Linked DNA regions of Alligator mississippiensis. The protein of the gene in region 1 interacts with the protein of each later gene in a biochemical or structural test. Links are inferred from orthologs where the notes say so. Each region holds a gene or a part of one and is shown on either strand. Other genes may lie near its edges.

Region 1 (7,719 bases):
CTTTCCAGTTCTCAACTGAAAACAGTGGAGTTACACCAAGGATGACTGTGTCCCCTAATGCTTGCAAAAATCTGAAAGAAAGGTATTACATTCCCCGATACGCTGAGCGTCCCTTAGAAGAGCCCTTTCCTGGCTCAGTGGTCATGCATTATAAATTACGCCATTGCAGCAGTGCCTTCAGACAAGACTCGATAGATTTGACCATCAGCTGTTAGGGGCCACGGAAGCAGACAACCCAACAGGTTAACTAGGGTTTTATTCAGCAGTGGTTCTGGTGATCTTATTCCCTTCTCAATTAGCTTTATCAGAGTATTAAGTTTTTGGGGGCAGGGATCCTTTATTGTGTTTTTACAGCCTCCTAACACAATAGATTCCAGGTCAATGACTGTGGCTCTAAGGTTGGACAGGGATAAAGTTAGTAGCAGTATTAGTGTAAGAGCCGACTGGGGGGGGGTCTTTTCCTTGCTGTGATGCCCACAGGCACACGAACAATCAGAATGGGATCATCAGTAGGCTCCAGATAGGTCCCTTATAATCACCAAGTGAGAATCCCAGGCTGTTCTTTTACATGTGCCTATAGGATATTTTGCATGAAATACTACTCTGATCCCAGTGTTTTAATTTCCCCAGGAGCGGCAGTTATGCCTTCTCTTAAATAAGCTGTGCTGCCTACACACAGTCTTACTTCTGAGGGCTGCCCGAGTCTAAGTCCCTATGATGGGGTCTGTTCAGGTACCAAAGATAGAGCTATTTCTACTCATTACAGGCTCTCTTAACAATACAAAAGCTTTACAAGTCTTTTGTTGGCAGATAACACAGTGCAGAGGCTAGTGTGGGGAAGAGAGAACAGTAAAAGGGGAAGAAATGGGAGACTGTCAAATTTTGGGCAGGAGGGGTGTGAGGGGAGGTCTAAAACACAGCACTATCATAGCAGTTGTCTTAGGAAAATCCCTTGCAACCTGCATCATGGTCACAGAGGAAGGTAGTTCCCGATAGGCAAGAATAATCACAATGGCTACAATAGCTTAACCAGGCTACAGACAAGCTCAGAAAGATCTCCAGGTGTTGTGTCTGTGTCTTCTCTGGTTACCTGCTATTTGTTGAATTTGCTGATGATTTAATATGAATGTTACATGAAGGGAAAGCATCAATCTTCCTGTCACAAAATGGTAGTCCCCAGAGCTTACAGGGGAACAAACAACCCAATCCTTTCTGCATCTTCTCCATCAGCTCCCGACATGGCATCCACCATAGAGGACAGAAGCAGACACTGGGGTGGGGATCAAATTAAACTTAAATGACACTGTTGTTTTGCCTCTTAACAACTACCTCCATCTTTAGGGGGCTGCATAGCATTGGGGGCAAGTCTTGCACCCAGCCAGTCACAATCAAGAGCAGAGGACAAGCTGTGTTAACCTAGCCTTCCTAGCAGGCATTTCACCTTGTAGGATTCCTCAGGGTGAAACTTGTAACAAATAAGACATCTAGTCATGAAGGATGTGCTCAGATAACAGCAGGGAAAGGTTATCTTGGTATCAAACGGGTTTTGCATAGACAGTTCTGTATTTGCATGCGCAGTATTCACTGATCAGCCCTTTCCAGAACCACATAGATGATTCAATGCCAATAATGATTCAGGAGCTGCATCATTTTTGGCACAGGTTTGAGGGTCCCCAAGGTGTGATAAAATAGGAGAACACACCAATTGTGGCTATTTTCCTCAGACATTTCTACCTCCTGAGATTACATAACGGAGGGAGCCTTTGTTTGTGCTTTGCTGTATCTCTACGAGGGTGTATTGAATGTACAGACCAATCTATGTTATTCCTTCTCTCCTTGAAGCAGTGCCCTCCCTCCCATACTCCTCAGCCTGCCCCCTCCATGTCCAGCAGCAATTGTCCTCTGACAACAGTGTGAAGGGGGGCAGACATCCTTCTATCCCAGCTCCTTCCCCTGAATCCTGCCTCCCTGTCTTTAGGTCTCAAAAAAAAATAAATAAATGATTTAAGATTTAAACCATTAAATCTCCTGTGCTGTGGACAACGCATTTAGCTCCATGACTTCCTCACTCCCTCTCCACCTTCAGACAAATGGCTTCTTTTGTGCATTAGTCACTCCAGAGAAGGATCTGTGGGAACCTCTTTCACCTCCCCCTTCTCCAAACCCTATGAGAGCCTACCCAGCAATGAGGCCCAGCACTGATCCGCTGCCAATCAGATCTAACCAGTTTAGAGCTTGACACTTATACACACACACACACTTATATGCTGCGGAGAGAGACCCCTGGGCTACTGAAGGTGACAGTGTCACCGCTCATGGATTTCTGCATTATACCCTGCATTGCAATCCTAGCTGTAGAGCGTGTGCATGCAGCAGGGACTGGGCTCCTTCTACACAAACCCCAAGTCAATGGGAGCAAGATCAGCCCTCCTCCCCCTGCTTGAATTGCACTGCCTGCATATTGAGTAATGCCTTGCACAAGATACAGACACATCAGGATCCAGCACTAGAACGACCCCTAAAATCATACGTGTCTTTGCAATCTTACCTTCCCACGAAATTCTCCAGCACGGAGCTCTTGCCGGCGCTCTGCCCCCCGACCACAGCAATCTGGGGCAGGTCCAAGTTGGCATTCTGGCCGATGGCTGCGAAGGCATCCTGGAGCTTGTTCACCAGGGGGATGAGGTCTTCCATCCCGCGGTTCCCCATGCTTGCAGCTCTGCCTGGCTCTCACCTTCTAGGCTTGCAATGCAACCGCCTCCTTCTCCCCCGCTTGCTTTGCAAAAGATCTACTGGTGGGGATCGACCCCCGAGCCCGCATGGGGGGCTGTCCCCACCCACCCTTCCGTGGCCAGTGGGGCTGGCTCGCCCTCCGCCTCCACCGACCTTGCCCAGGTCCCTAGATCTCTGCGGCAGCAGCGCTGCTCCCGACTGCCAGCTCGAGACCCGCTACCCGCCGGGCTCCTGCTTGGATTTAAAGCGCAGCGACCGAAAGCCGCCGCCAGGGGGCGCCGTGATGCCTCCGGCGCGCCCAGAGCTTCATGGGACTTGTAGTTTCTCTCTCTAGTGTCCGTGGGCGGCCAAAGCGGGCTATGCAGCAAGAGTAGAATAAGAGGGATGTTTCCAGTGTCTCAGCAAGCAAAATCCTCACTAGTGGAGTTAAAAGGCGAAATTAAAATCCAGCCCTACAAGCTGAGATGTGGCACAGCTTCATGATCGCTGATCTCTTGCACGATCAGGGATACCTTGCAGTACAGAAAGTAGGAATAAGTCTGTCTTCTTTCTTTGAACCTGGAGAAGCACAAAATGATCAGTGCCCTGACTCTGCACGCTGGAAGGGCACTGTGAAACCATCCCTTCCAACATGTGAAGTACTGTCTCTGTAAATAGTCAACACCTGAAATCACTGGTCTGAAAGGTTATGTTCTTGTATTTCTGATTGGCCTTCTGTTTTTGGATCTCTGCGTTTTGCATTTCATCCGACCGGGAAGTGATCCATTTCAGTTTCTTATTCAGCACACTCGGACCTTGTTGCCATTTCCCAAATATGCAGGGAAATACTTAATAGGATGTTTCCACCGGTTCTTTTTTTCTAATTTTCACAAAGAGAAAGTCTTCCATTTCAGGGTTTGTGAAAGGGTAGCTACAAAAATAAAATGCAGGGCCATATTTACATTGGAAGTATGCCCAGGTGAAAACAGTAGTGTGTTTGGGAAAAAAACAAAGGAAGTGGTGGCTCAAGAAAATATATAGCATCTCAACTGCCATTGTAACTGAGGCTAAACGGTATTCCTGTTCCAGGCTCAGATTCAGCTGAAAGCATAGTACTTTGGCCCTTTGCCTGAGCTGCCATCTTATTTTCCAGAATTTCTGCTCTCAGTTTTTTAAATAAGTCTCAGCTATTATAATTGTACATAAAACCTCACAAATATCAGTCAACTGTGAGCTATGCAGACACACCTGTATGAAACTGCAGAGCCTGGAACTATAGCTCTGAGAGGTGTGAAATGCCCTTTTTGTATCAGGGACATGTTAGCTCAGATGTCAAATGATGATTTACATCATCCATGCTGTTAACTTTCATTCCTCACGCAAGAAAGGTAAGCGGGGAGAATCAAAGATCTGCATCTCGTGCTGTGGGTGATGCATCATTTTCAGGCCATCAGTTGGTGGTGTTTAGGAGAAACCACTACTTATTTTTCCTTCCAAGCTATCAAGCCTAGTTAACCTCAAAGAGGGCCAAGCTTAATAACCCTAGTGGAGGTTAAGAGGTGCACACAGCCATATGTTGCCAATTTCTCTCTCTGCTGTGAGCCGCCTCTCATTCTGAGGATTCATACAGGCAGAGTCTGAAATAACAATATTACCCTCTCTCCCTGGCAGACTCCTGCCCTTGGAGATATCAGCAAAGTGTGAAACAGGCATCAAGAATGCCCTCCTTCCTGTCCAAGCCTCTTTAAGGAGCAACATCATTTCAGTCTCGCCAGACACATCTTTGCAGTCCCCCTCTAGCAATCTTGGTAGGAAAGTTACCATTTGCTAGAAGCTTGCTTTAATCTGCATTTCTAATATTCCTATACAATTGATTGTATTTGATTGCTATGGTCAACATTTGTGCTAACAGGAGCGGCCTCAAACTGTGCTGATATTGGATTTTGCCCCCATCTGGCTGTTTCACATTCTAAACAGGTGTTTCACTCCGGATGAGCCTGTTCCCCAGAATTCATCACTTGGAATCCTCCTGTTCTCAGTGAGATCTAAAATTAAATGAATATACTTGTTTTTCTATTAGAAAAGGTTTGCAAAAAAGCAAACCTTTGTGCCAACAGCTGATTTTCACACTGAAAAAAAAATTAATGTCCCAGGGGAAAGGAAAGGAAACTGGATGGATTGGAGGCAACACAGAATTTGCAGCAGGATCATTTATGAGCTCTTAGGTATTCTTGCCTTTATACTGATATGAAGTTGAAAGCTGCGAGAATCAATGAACCTACGGCTCTGAGGTGAGCTCTTTATGCCCTGCCTGGTTCAATCTAATCACAGTAGCCATGCTACCTGGTGCAAGAGAGGCCTGAAAGAAAGTGCTAGGGAAGCAAGCAGAAGAAAGCAGATTCTCTTCCCAAGCCTCCAAGAAAGGAGGAAAAAGGGAGAAGAAAAAATCTGCAGAAACGGTGGCAAAGTGCCTTGAGATTTTCACTCCGAGCCTGTCAGTCACCATGAACGTTACTTTGTAAGCTGCACAAAGCACTTCACCTTTTACTGTTTTGCAGGTGCACTCGGGTAAAGGAGGATATGGCATGTGTGCATGATATCAAAGCTCTCAATTGTCAGTAATATTGCCACAGCATTAGTCTGCCCTGTCAGTTCTGTGATGATTCCAGTCATACAGATCATGGCCTGCAAAGTCAGAGCCCTAAATTTAGGTATGAAGGAAACTGAGGTCTGATATCAAGTAGAACTGCATGTGCTTATTACCTCTCAGAATAATTTTCTGCTCATGTAAAAGCTTGTGCACAGGAATGGTGTCTGCAAAGGGCAGTGTAGCAGGCTTTGTGACTGTACAGCATTGCCTTTCTAGATGACTTACACACCTGCTGTACCAGTAGTTAAATAAAAAGAGCCAAGTGATGATCCTTGGAGAAATTATCTTACAAATAAAAAAGGACATTTCCAAACAGGAATGGAAGAGAAAAAACAAGATCATTTCTAGGCTAGTAAGTGCTGCCTGGGAACAGATGAATGAAGGAAAAGGGAGACCTTTTCTTTAAGATGGTTTAAAGATCTAGGGCCATACTTTTAAATTAATCTCTAAAACTGTACCTTCACATAAAGATGCTGCTGCTTGCAGCTCCATCTACTGATGTGCTAACAGGCAGCGTGGGTGCACTAGTCAGAGCAGCAGAGACTTCTTATGCCTAAAGAAGGGTGATTGTGCCTGAAAGCTTGCTAAGAACTTTTTTTCCAGCTACTCAGTTGGTCTAATAAAAGATATCACATCTACTCAAAGAACTTTGCCTGCCCTTGTTGGGACAAATGTACTTATGCAAAGACATCTGCCAACTATGTGGCTACTGCAGTTTAAAAGCCCTTTTGGAAAAGCACATCCTTTAAAAAGTCATCCAGTAGAGCAAATGCCAGCAGGCTGCCCCTCTGCAGGAGAGATCCAGGTGTATTGTCAATACACTCAGACCCCAGTGGAACAGTATACCAGATCCCATGTAAAGATTAGTAATTTTTATAATTGCCATTGGTGTCCTGCTCACTAAGAATCTCCTTTTCAGAGATCCTGAGCCCCATGGGTCCCAGCCTTCAGCCAGAGTTGTGAATGCTCAGAATTTCTGACAGTCAGATTACAGAGGAACCTCACATGCTCTTCACAGATTTGTTCCCAGGACACTTCTACAATCCAAGGTAAGAATCTAAACTTTTAAAAGATCAGGGATGGGGATTGCCAAATGGTTCAGTGTAGGAGAGTATCTTTATATCACTAGTGAATAACATAGACATGCAAGAGGAATGTTTTTGACATAAGAACAGTTATCTGGAACACGCACATCCCCCAAATTCTTGTTTCTGCCTGTGTTGCTTTGGCAGTCAGGAAAAAATAGTGAAATAACTGCTCCATTCCCCTTCAGTTCTGAAACAGGACACGGTAGAACCCACCTCACGCTCCTCCCTTTTACAAAAACCTTCAACAATGGCAAATATCGTTGAAAGCAGATTAAATTAAATTTATCCCTGGTATAGCTCCACTGATGTCAGGACTTAAGCAAGGTAATGAATACATGTAATTTTTGTAGCCCAGTGGGAAAGGGATTTTTGACAAGCGTGCGTCTGGAAGAATGAATGACTATTTTAAGACCTGTAGATGAGTTCCCTGTGCATTTCAAATGCGGAGAGGCAACACAAAATAGTAACTAAGTCTATGTTACATCCATGTGGGACTGAAAACAGTAAATAGAAGTTACTTGGGGCTATTGTAGGGAAGGCATCATCAAAATAGTATCTAAATTTATATCCTGTGGACATTATCTATCTATAGATGGTATTCAGCAAGAAATATTGCAAACAAGTTTGTATGTTAGCTGGCTGAAGAATAGATGGTAGCATCCCAACGCTTCCTGTACAAACAGTTTGGATAACCAAGTACTGCGTATAGCTAAGTAGTCAATGCCCTGTTGGTTCCCAGCTGGCTGGTTATGGCCTGGGTGGATCAGACAGGAAAACAGCAGAACCCAGCAAATATCTATATAGATAGAGAAATAGATCTAGATGGGTAGATAGATGGATATATCTAGATACATTTAATTTGTATCCACAGCCACATTAGCAAAAACTAATGCTAAATCCAAGTGTCCAGAACCATAAGCGGCCTACTACCGGCAACCATCCTCCACCCGCATCTGGGGCTTCAGCTGTTTCCAAAACCTTTGGGAGGCATCCTACTTGCAGGCCCAAGCCCGGGGGCTTGGGGTTCAGATGCCCCTGAGTTTTGCTTGTCCTCAGCCCTGCGGCCCTCGGAGCAAGCAAGGGGGGAGACTGCCATTTCCACAAACTGGGCTTAACACCACTGCACCTCGCCAGGTCCTGATCCACGCCAGAAGAGCAGTTCTCTTGTGACACGCTTCAGGAAAACTGCCTTCTTGGACCCAGATACGTGGCATTTCCAGTGCCAGGTGAAGAAGCCGCAAGGCTTGTCCTGAGATCTAGCTCTCAAGA
Region 2 (7,293 bases), on another chromosome or scaffold:
AGTTCAGGCAACTTCACTTGATGAAGTCTCCCCGATGATCCAGACTGATGGAGTTACATGTTGCTTTTGACTCAGAAGTGAACTTTCACCTCCGGTTGCCCCACTAACTCATCACAGAGGATTTGCAACAGTAAAATACTCCAACAAGAAATTCCCAGTGAGGCCTTTCCCCTTAGACTTTTGTTTTAAAACAATAAAAAGAAGTCCATGATCAAGAGGTTGGTTTTCCTGGAGCATGGGGGATGAGGATTGCGGGAATCTAGCCCTTTGTTTTGCCATATAAGCAAAATGCCTTTTCATAACTGTAGCCAAGGAAGGAGGGAACGCCACTTAGCAAACAGACTTGGATTCAGCTGCACTTCACTGAAGTGCTCCAGCTTTTATGCCTGGAAAACACACGCGCACTCTGGGCAGAGCAGCACAATGTTCAACTGGTTTAAATTTAAAATGGGGCGTGTATGCTGCGCAGGGAGAGCCAGAGGGGTGTTCCTCCCCACAAAGTTTCACTGTTCCTTGATGCATTCCTCAGATAATTACAAATTAATAAGCCACAGGGATAATGCCTCTCTGGCAGGGAAGGTCAGCAGCAGCCAAGAGGATGGGGAAGAGGGATTCACAAACCCAATCTCCCTTTTATTAGGCTGCTGTGAGCATCACTGAACTGTGCATCGTTGCATGAGTGGGAAGGGATCCCTCATACAAGGCCCAGCTGCAAATTTAAGCTCAAGGCCCGCTGCTCCTACCTGCCTCAGGAAGGGAGATTTCCAATAGTTCTGTTTTGCTAATAAACCACTAAAAATGTGCCTATCTGACAGTTTTCCGCAGAATCTTAAGGCTGCCATTTCCTGTCTCACGCATGCACACAAAACCACAGGGGCCGAAAGCTTGGATGGTGTCACTTGTGCACACCACAAAATCCTTTCCAGTTCCTGATGCCAGCTACTAAGCAAGGAAGGGAGAATTTCCTGGGGTTATGCTGCAGCTGCAGTTTGCTGCTGTGCTTTCCTGGACCCCAAGCATAACAAGAAACGTTATTCCTAACTATAACCCTATCTTTCATCCTGAAATCCACTCCATTTGGATCCTTCACAGCCCTTCCCCTCCAACTCCCTGTTTTTAAATTAAGACGTATAAATAACTCAATGGTCAGGAAAAAAAGAGTCACTGATCACCGCGTTTGGTAGATCATTTGGAGTTTTCTTGTCCATTATTCTTAAGCTGTCCTTTTTGCTCAGAAAACTATTGCAACTCCTTCACAAAGTGGCCATTACAAAACCGGTTCCTACACTGTATGCAAGATCTCTCTGGAGGAAGACAGGTATTTAAGACAGAAGTAAATTCTCATTTGATACTTGCAGCACTCCTCTGAAAAGCAGCTTTTAGCAATGCAACTTTCAGGGCAGAACTAGCAAAGAGCCACTCTGATACACATCTCACTTACAGGTCCAAAGGAAACGTGGCTAGTGCGACCACAAAGCAATGCAGTACAAGGCTGAAAAACACATTAGACATGGGAAGAACCATAGGGAAACTTCACATGACGGGAAGTACTTTCCTGGTCATCTTCCAGAGTTAAGGATTAATGAGAAATCATGGTAATGACATAAAACCATAGGAAAAACGAAGAGTTTAAAAATAGGTAACTGACATCTTAATGCTTCCTTTGTGGCTAGGATCAGCAATTTGAAGTGACATATGCCACATCTGATCCTTGACTGACAAGGAATTACACACGTTTAGGAAGACCAGAGTATTTTTAATTTCTGTCTTGGCCGGGAGAACCAAAAACATTGCTACTGAATGTGGTTGTGGACAACTTCTCTCCGTTATGCCTCCTCACGCAAAACAAGGGAACATGCCAGCATTTCAGCCTTGACCACGTAACAAATGCCGTGACTGTCTCAGCGGTGCACGCGAGTCTCTGCTACAGTCTTGCAACGTGATTAATCTCATTTTAGAAGAAAACACAATACACACTGAACCCCTGAACTGGAAATTCACATCCCCTGGTCATTTATTCCACCCCCTTCCTTCACTTCTTGAACGAGCGAGTGCCTAGTGAAAAGAGACCGGACAGATGGGAAGGGAAGCAACAAGCAAGGGTGGCTAGAAAGCATTTAGGAATGAAGGGAAAGAAAGAAGACGTGGCTGTACGGACAAGAAGCAGCCATCTGTTTCAGCTGCTGCCTCCTTGGAGAGGAAGCCTACAGCCAAGCACATCGTTTTCCCCAGAAAGCAAGCGTGGTCCTTGCACGGAGGGGCTGCAAGAGCAGGCTAGGAGAGCGGGGTGACCCCTGGGCCAGGAAGGCACCTCCCGCTCCCCCGCGGCATCCGCGGACGACGGTCCCTGCCCGGCCAGGACGCACGCGGCAACACAGCTCGCCGCCAAGACCTCGGCATCACGGCTGCACACGCACCCGGCACCTCCTTCCTGACCCTGCGCACGCAAACACACGCAAGCACCTTGTGCTTCTGCATCCCCCACGCATGCAGCCGTGGCACTCCTGCATCACACACTGGATCACACACGTACACCCGAACCCCCCCCCAGGCACGTGTGGATCGCACACCCACACACACCTGGCACTTCTGGATCGCACACAGCACACACGTACACCCTGGCCCCCTTGACACTTCTGGATTACACACAGGCACGCACGCACACACCCAAATGCACACGCACCCCTGGCATGTCTGGGTTGCACACGCACCCAGATGCGCCCACACCCCTGGCACATCTGGATCACACACACACACCCTGGCACACCTGGACTGCACACGCACACTCACACTCACACCCCCGGTTCCCCGCACGGCTGCAGCCGAGGAGCCCGAGCCCGAGGGCGCTGACCTGGCTCGCCTTGTAGAACTGCTTCTTCAGCCCGGCCACCGACATGCTGCCCCGGGCGGGCGCGCACACACACCCGCGGACACGCACACGCGCACAGACACCCCCCCACGGCGGACGCTCCGGCCCGCGCCGCTTCCGCTCCCACGCAGCCGGAAGTGGGCCGGCCGCGGAGGGATCCCGCCCCGCCCCGCCCCGCCTCTGCCGACAGGGGGAGCAAGGCCCGGCCGCCACCACAGAGACGCGAGGGAGAGCACCGCTCTTCCGGTGGTACTACAGAGCGGCGCGCGGCGGCTAGAGAGGCGCCAGGCAGGGCACTGCCCCCCTGCGGAAGCGCCCGGAAGTGCAGGGCGGGCTGGGGCTGGGGCTGGCACGTGGCTCCAGTCCCGGGTGTCCCCGTCTTGGGGCGCTTGATGCTGGGAATAGCTCCAGCTCCATCAGTTATGAGTGAGGTCCCACTCCTAGGCCTAGCCGACAGCCTCTGTTTGCACCAGGCCCCCGGGGCCCTTGTGCTTTCCCTGTCATTACTATTGCTGCTGGTGCTCTTACTTCCATCAAGACTTAATCTGATCCTCACGGCGCTTAGCATCACTTCCCATGAGCTAGCAACGCATGTGGTACTCGCTAGCGTGCACCCTCATTCATGATTCCTCTAAGGGATAAAAGCTGTGTAGGGTTAGAGGGGTATAGGCTGTAGCCGTGTTAGTGTACAGACATAGGCAGACAAGTTTCTTTGGGTAAATCTGATATTTTTTATTATAGGGATAAAAGCTTTATAGGTGGGGGTAAAAAGCCAGGCACAGAGCACTTTGCAATCTCCACTTACAGGTGCGGGGGTTAAGAGACTTCTCAGCTCCCAGGACTGGAAACATAGACCAGCGTTTCTCAACCCACAACCCAAATTTGGGTTGCAAAAATATACGAAAGGGTCAGAAACAAACTTTAAAAATGGATTCTCCTTTAAAGGGGGAAAACGTGGGGAACCGTGGCTTTTCCCTTGCTGGCTGGCAGAGCTCCAGCTCTGCTTGGGGCTCCCCCATTCCTCGCAGGGTGGGGTGGGGTAGCAGGTCGGGAGTAAGGGGCACCAGCAGGGCCAGGGGGATGTTTTCTACTTAAACTATTTACTGGGTCAGGACTGGCCACTGATGTTTACAAAGCGGTCCTGGTACAAAAAAGGTTTACCACTGATAGACACCACTCCTCACTCATCTGCAAAGACCCTTACCCTTATGCACTGTCAGAAGTCATTCCCATTATCTCCACAGCCCTCACCTTACAAGCTTTTATGTGTGCGTTTAATTCCACTGCTAAGAATAATCCACCGATGGTTTGACAATAGCGAAGCTAAGTACATGGGAATACTGACATGCATCGAACATGCACGTAAGTGCTTACAAGATTGAGAAATTATTACTTTAAAATGATCTGTTCCGGCTTGTCCAACACAATATAAACTTTTCCTGGGAGTTTTTTTTTCCCTCTATGTGCTATCCCAGCATTATTTTGGGGGAAGGAGGACATCCAATATGTTCCAGGTTTTAATTTCATAAATCAAAATGTTCTGTTTGTTGAAGTCTTTTTGTAATACCAAAGAGAGTAAGTTCTTAATTCTAACAACAGAACTAGACCAAAATCAGGAACAAAGAGGCCAGTGGAGTGTACAGCCTGCAGTGTTTGGACTGAAAAGTCTGTTTAGTGCTGGCACTCTCAGAGCTATTATTTTGATTGCAATAAAGATTGGTTATGCGCGTTTCATGTTTCACAATACATTCTAAGTTACTGGAAGAAAAAAGTTCTCTGTTGCCAGAAATATGCCTGAATTACAGCTGAGTAAGAAGCTAGTGATAAGTGATGGCAACATTTTGTATGTAGTTTTCTCTCTGGTGTGACTATGTTGCAACCTTGAAAAAATATAGACTCTTAGAATCACAGAACTGACAAGGACCTCAAGGCTCATCTAAGTCCAACCCCAGCATAGAAACACTGCCACAAAACTATCTGTTACAAACACAAGTACTCTTTCACCCCAAATTTTAACTCCTTTGCCCCCGGCAATATGCCCCTGTGACAGATCCTGGAAGAAGAGTCTTACAGCCCCTTTTTGTGTGTTTGGAGGTTACTTTTTCCATGCATTTCTGTTATTACAATGATGTAAATTTAAGGAATTGAGGACTCAGTGAATTATCATCATACACTAACCTTGACCACTGAGATACTGACCTCAAAAAGGCCCCTTCCCGCTTGTGCTCATTCAGTTTCCTTAGCTTTCTGATATTCGCTGCCAGATAAAGAGAGAATGGCAGAAACTCAAATTCAGAGACAAGATAAAATGAAAAAACTTCCTCAAGGCTTTTGCTAAGGCTGTTTTACAGCACATGAGAACTTTCCTATCAGCCTCCATCATAGCTGCCAGATTCTACTACAAGAAAGCAAGCTAGGGGGTGAACTATTTAATCTGTCCTGACTGTTTGCAACCTGATTCAGAACTAAGCACCATGTGGTGCAAAGGCTTATGGTTCTACTTCACTGAAAAGACCGTATACTTTTAAGAAGCCAAACAGCATGGCTCTGTATCTCTACCACCAGCTCAGAGTCCAGTTGCACTCCTGGAGTTCACTACATTCACTCACCAAAAAGTTCTGGACACCTTTAAAGGAGTTGGGCCCATTCTGACCCCTGCCCATTCTGCCCTGTGAAAGAATCAGGGACAGTGGGTGCCCCATAGAGCCAACACACCATTCAGAGATTCCTGTTTCATGCACCCACAGTCCAACTGACATTGGAAGAGCCTCCTTCCTCCTCCCCACAGCTAGATGTATTCATTTAACTAGCTGCCACTCAATGTTGCACCTCCCATTCCTAAATTGTAGAGACAAAGGCTCCCTGCAAGCTCATCTAAATGGAACCACTATCCAGACTCAGGCTAGGACACAACTGAATACAAGAACTGCCAGCCAGGATGAGACCCAACTTGCTCAGTGCTGTCTCCAGCAGTAGCAAGGAGCTTCAGAGGGAGAGTATAAGAAATGGGTTGTGTGGAGAATCATACTCTCCCAGATGCTCAAAGTCATGCATCCTAAGCCTGAGTTCACACCCCTGGTTGTTGTATTTAATAGCTCCATGGACCTATCCTCCATAAAAACTGACCTTGATTATACTATTAGCCTTCACACGGTCCTGTGGCAAAGAGTTCCACAAGTTATTTATGTGCTGTGTAAATCAGCATTCCCTTTTGTTTGTTGTAAACCCGACATTGATCATTTTAAACTGAAAATAGTTTAGTGGCAGTGATGGATGCTCATCTCCTGTGAATGGACAGAGGGCAGACATCCATTCTCATCTTTCTCATCCCCTCTGTGCCATTTGGAAGGGCACACTAAATGAACAGTGATAGGAAATGGTACCTTAACTTTGGAGTCACACAAGATTCAATTCTCACTCTGGTCCTTTTCAACAGCCACGTGCAGCAATGAGGTGAACCGGTCTGACGATACAGGCTCATCTTCCAGCAATATGCAGGTGATACGTAGCTCTCCCTGACCTTCATCACATATGAGCACATCATTGCCACCATAGCCAAGGGCCAAGTGCTTGACTGAAACCAGATCATGAGTAAAGAGCAGTGTGCCACTGAATCCAGGTCCAACAGGTAACACTGGTGGACAGATGAAAGCAAGTTGAAGCATTTATGGTTGTGCTGTAGTCTCATTTAGTTGAAGACACACACCCAAATTAAAGCAACTGGATATTGCTATGCTCTCAAAAACCTCTGTGAATGTTTCTGGACAACTCCATCCCATCCTAGCAGATTATGAGCTGGCCTCAGTTATACCAGATGTCAGCACCCCTCCAGTGGACCACAGTGATGCAGTATACCTGGGCATAAAGACTTCAGTAGCTAGGAATCTCCAATGAATAGAAAATTCTGCAACACACTTCTGCAGCACCACAGGCCACTACGAGTACATCCAGGGTGTCTTCCGTTCTGCGCAGTCAATTCCTTCAGAATTTTGAATCAAGTTCAAGGCTTGTCCTTATCTTCAAAGCACCCTGTGGTCTGGCCTCAGGATGTTTAAAAGACCACACAGTGCTCCGAGGGAAAAAAAAAAAACCAACACAGCTGAGAGCTACATTTCTCTGGCAAAGGAAGATCTCTTTGCAAGAAAGATAGAGCTCATTTGTGCAGGACACTGAACCTATTTCGAGACTGTGGAATGAAGAGTCCCAGAAACAAAGACCTGCACTTCCTTTTTCTCGAAGTGCAAGGCTCATCTTTTGACCTCGACTTCTCTGACATCAACCCAGAGCAACAATGTTGATTTATTTATTTTTTAAGAAGGTAGGAAAAGACCCTCAAAAACCAAACCAGAGTCCTTAAGAGTCAGCCAAAATAAGATGCACCAATGCACACACTTCTTCCGTGGGGGGGAAATGAGAGAACACGC

The links.
Region 2: the proteins of DNM1 (region 1) and SH3GL1 form a complex in vitro, tested with the Homo sapiens proteins (2 studies listed by BioGRID and IntAct, with this or other methods). The link is inferred for Alligator mississippiensis from reciprocal best matches to the Homo sapiens genes DNM1 and SH3GL1.

What each region holds. Positions count from the first base shown.
Region 1 is NC_081835.1:57,700,503-57,708,221, forward strand, and holds the start of DNM1 (dynamin-1), read right to left. Parts: upstream 3,003-7,719; 5' UTR 2,710-3,002; coding exon 2,549-2,709; intron 1-2,548. UniProt on the Homo sapiens protein: Catalyzes the hydrolysis of GTP and utilizes this energy to mediate vesicle scission and participates in many forms of endocytosis, such as clathrin-mediated endocytosis or synaptic vesicle endocytosis as well as rapid endocytosis (RE).
Region 2 is NC_081839.1:5,309,937-5,317,229, reverse strand, and holds the start of SH3GL1 (endophilin-A2), read right to left. Parts: upstream 3,013-7,293; 5' UTR 2,897-3,012; coding exon 2,852-2,896; intron 1-2,851. UniProt on the Homo sapiens protein: Implicated in endocytosis. May recruit other proteins to membranes with high curvature.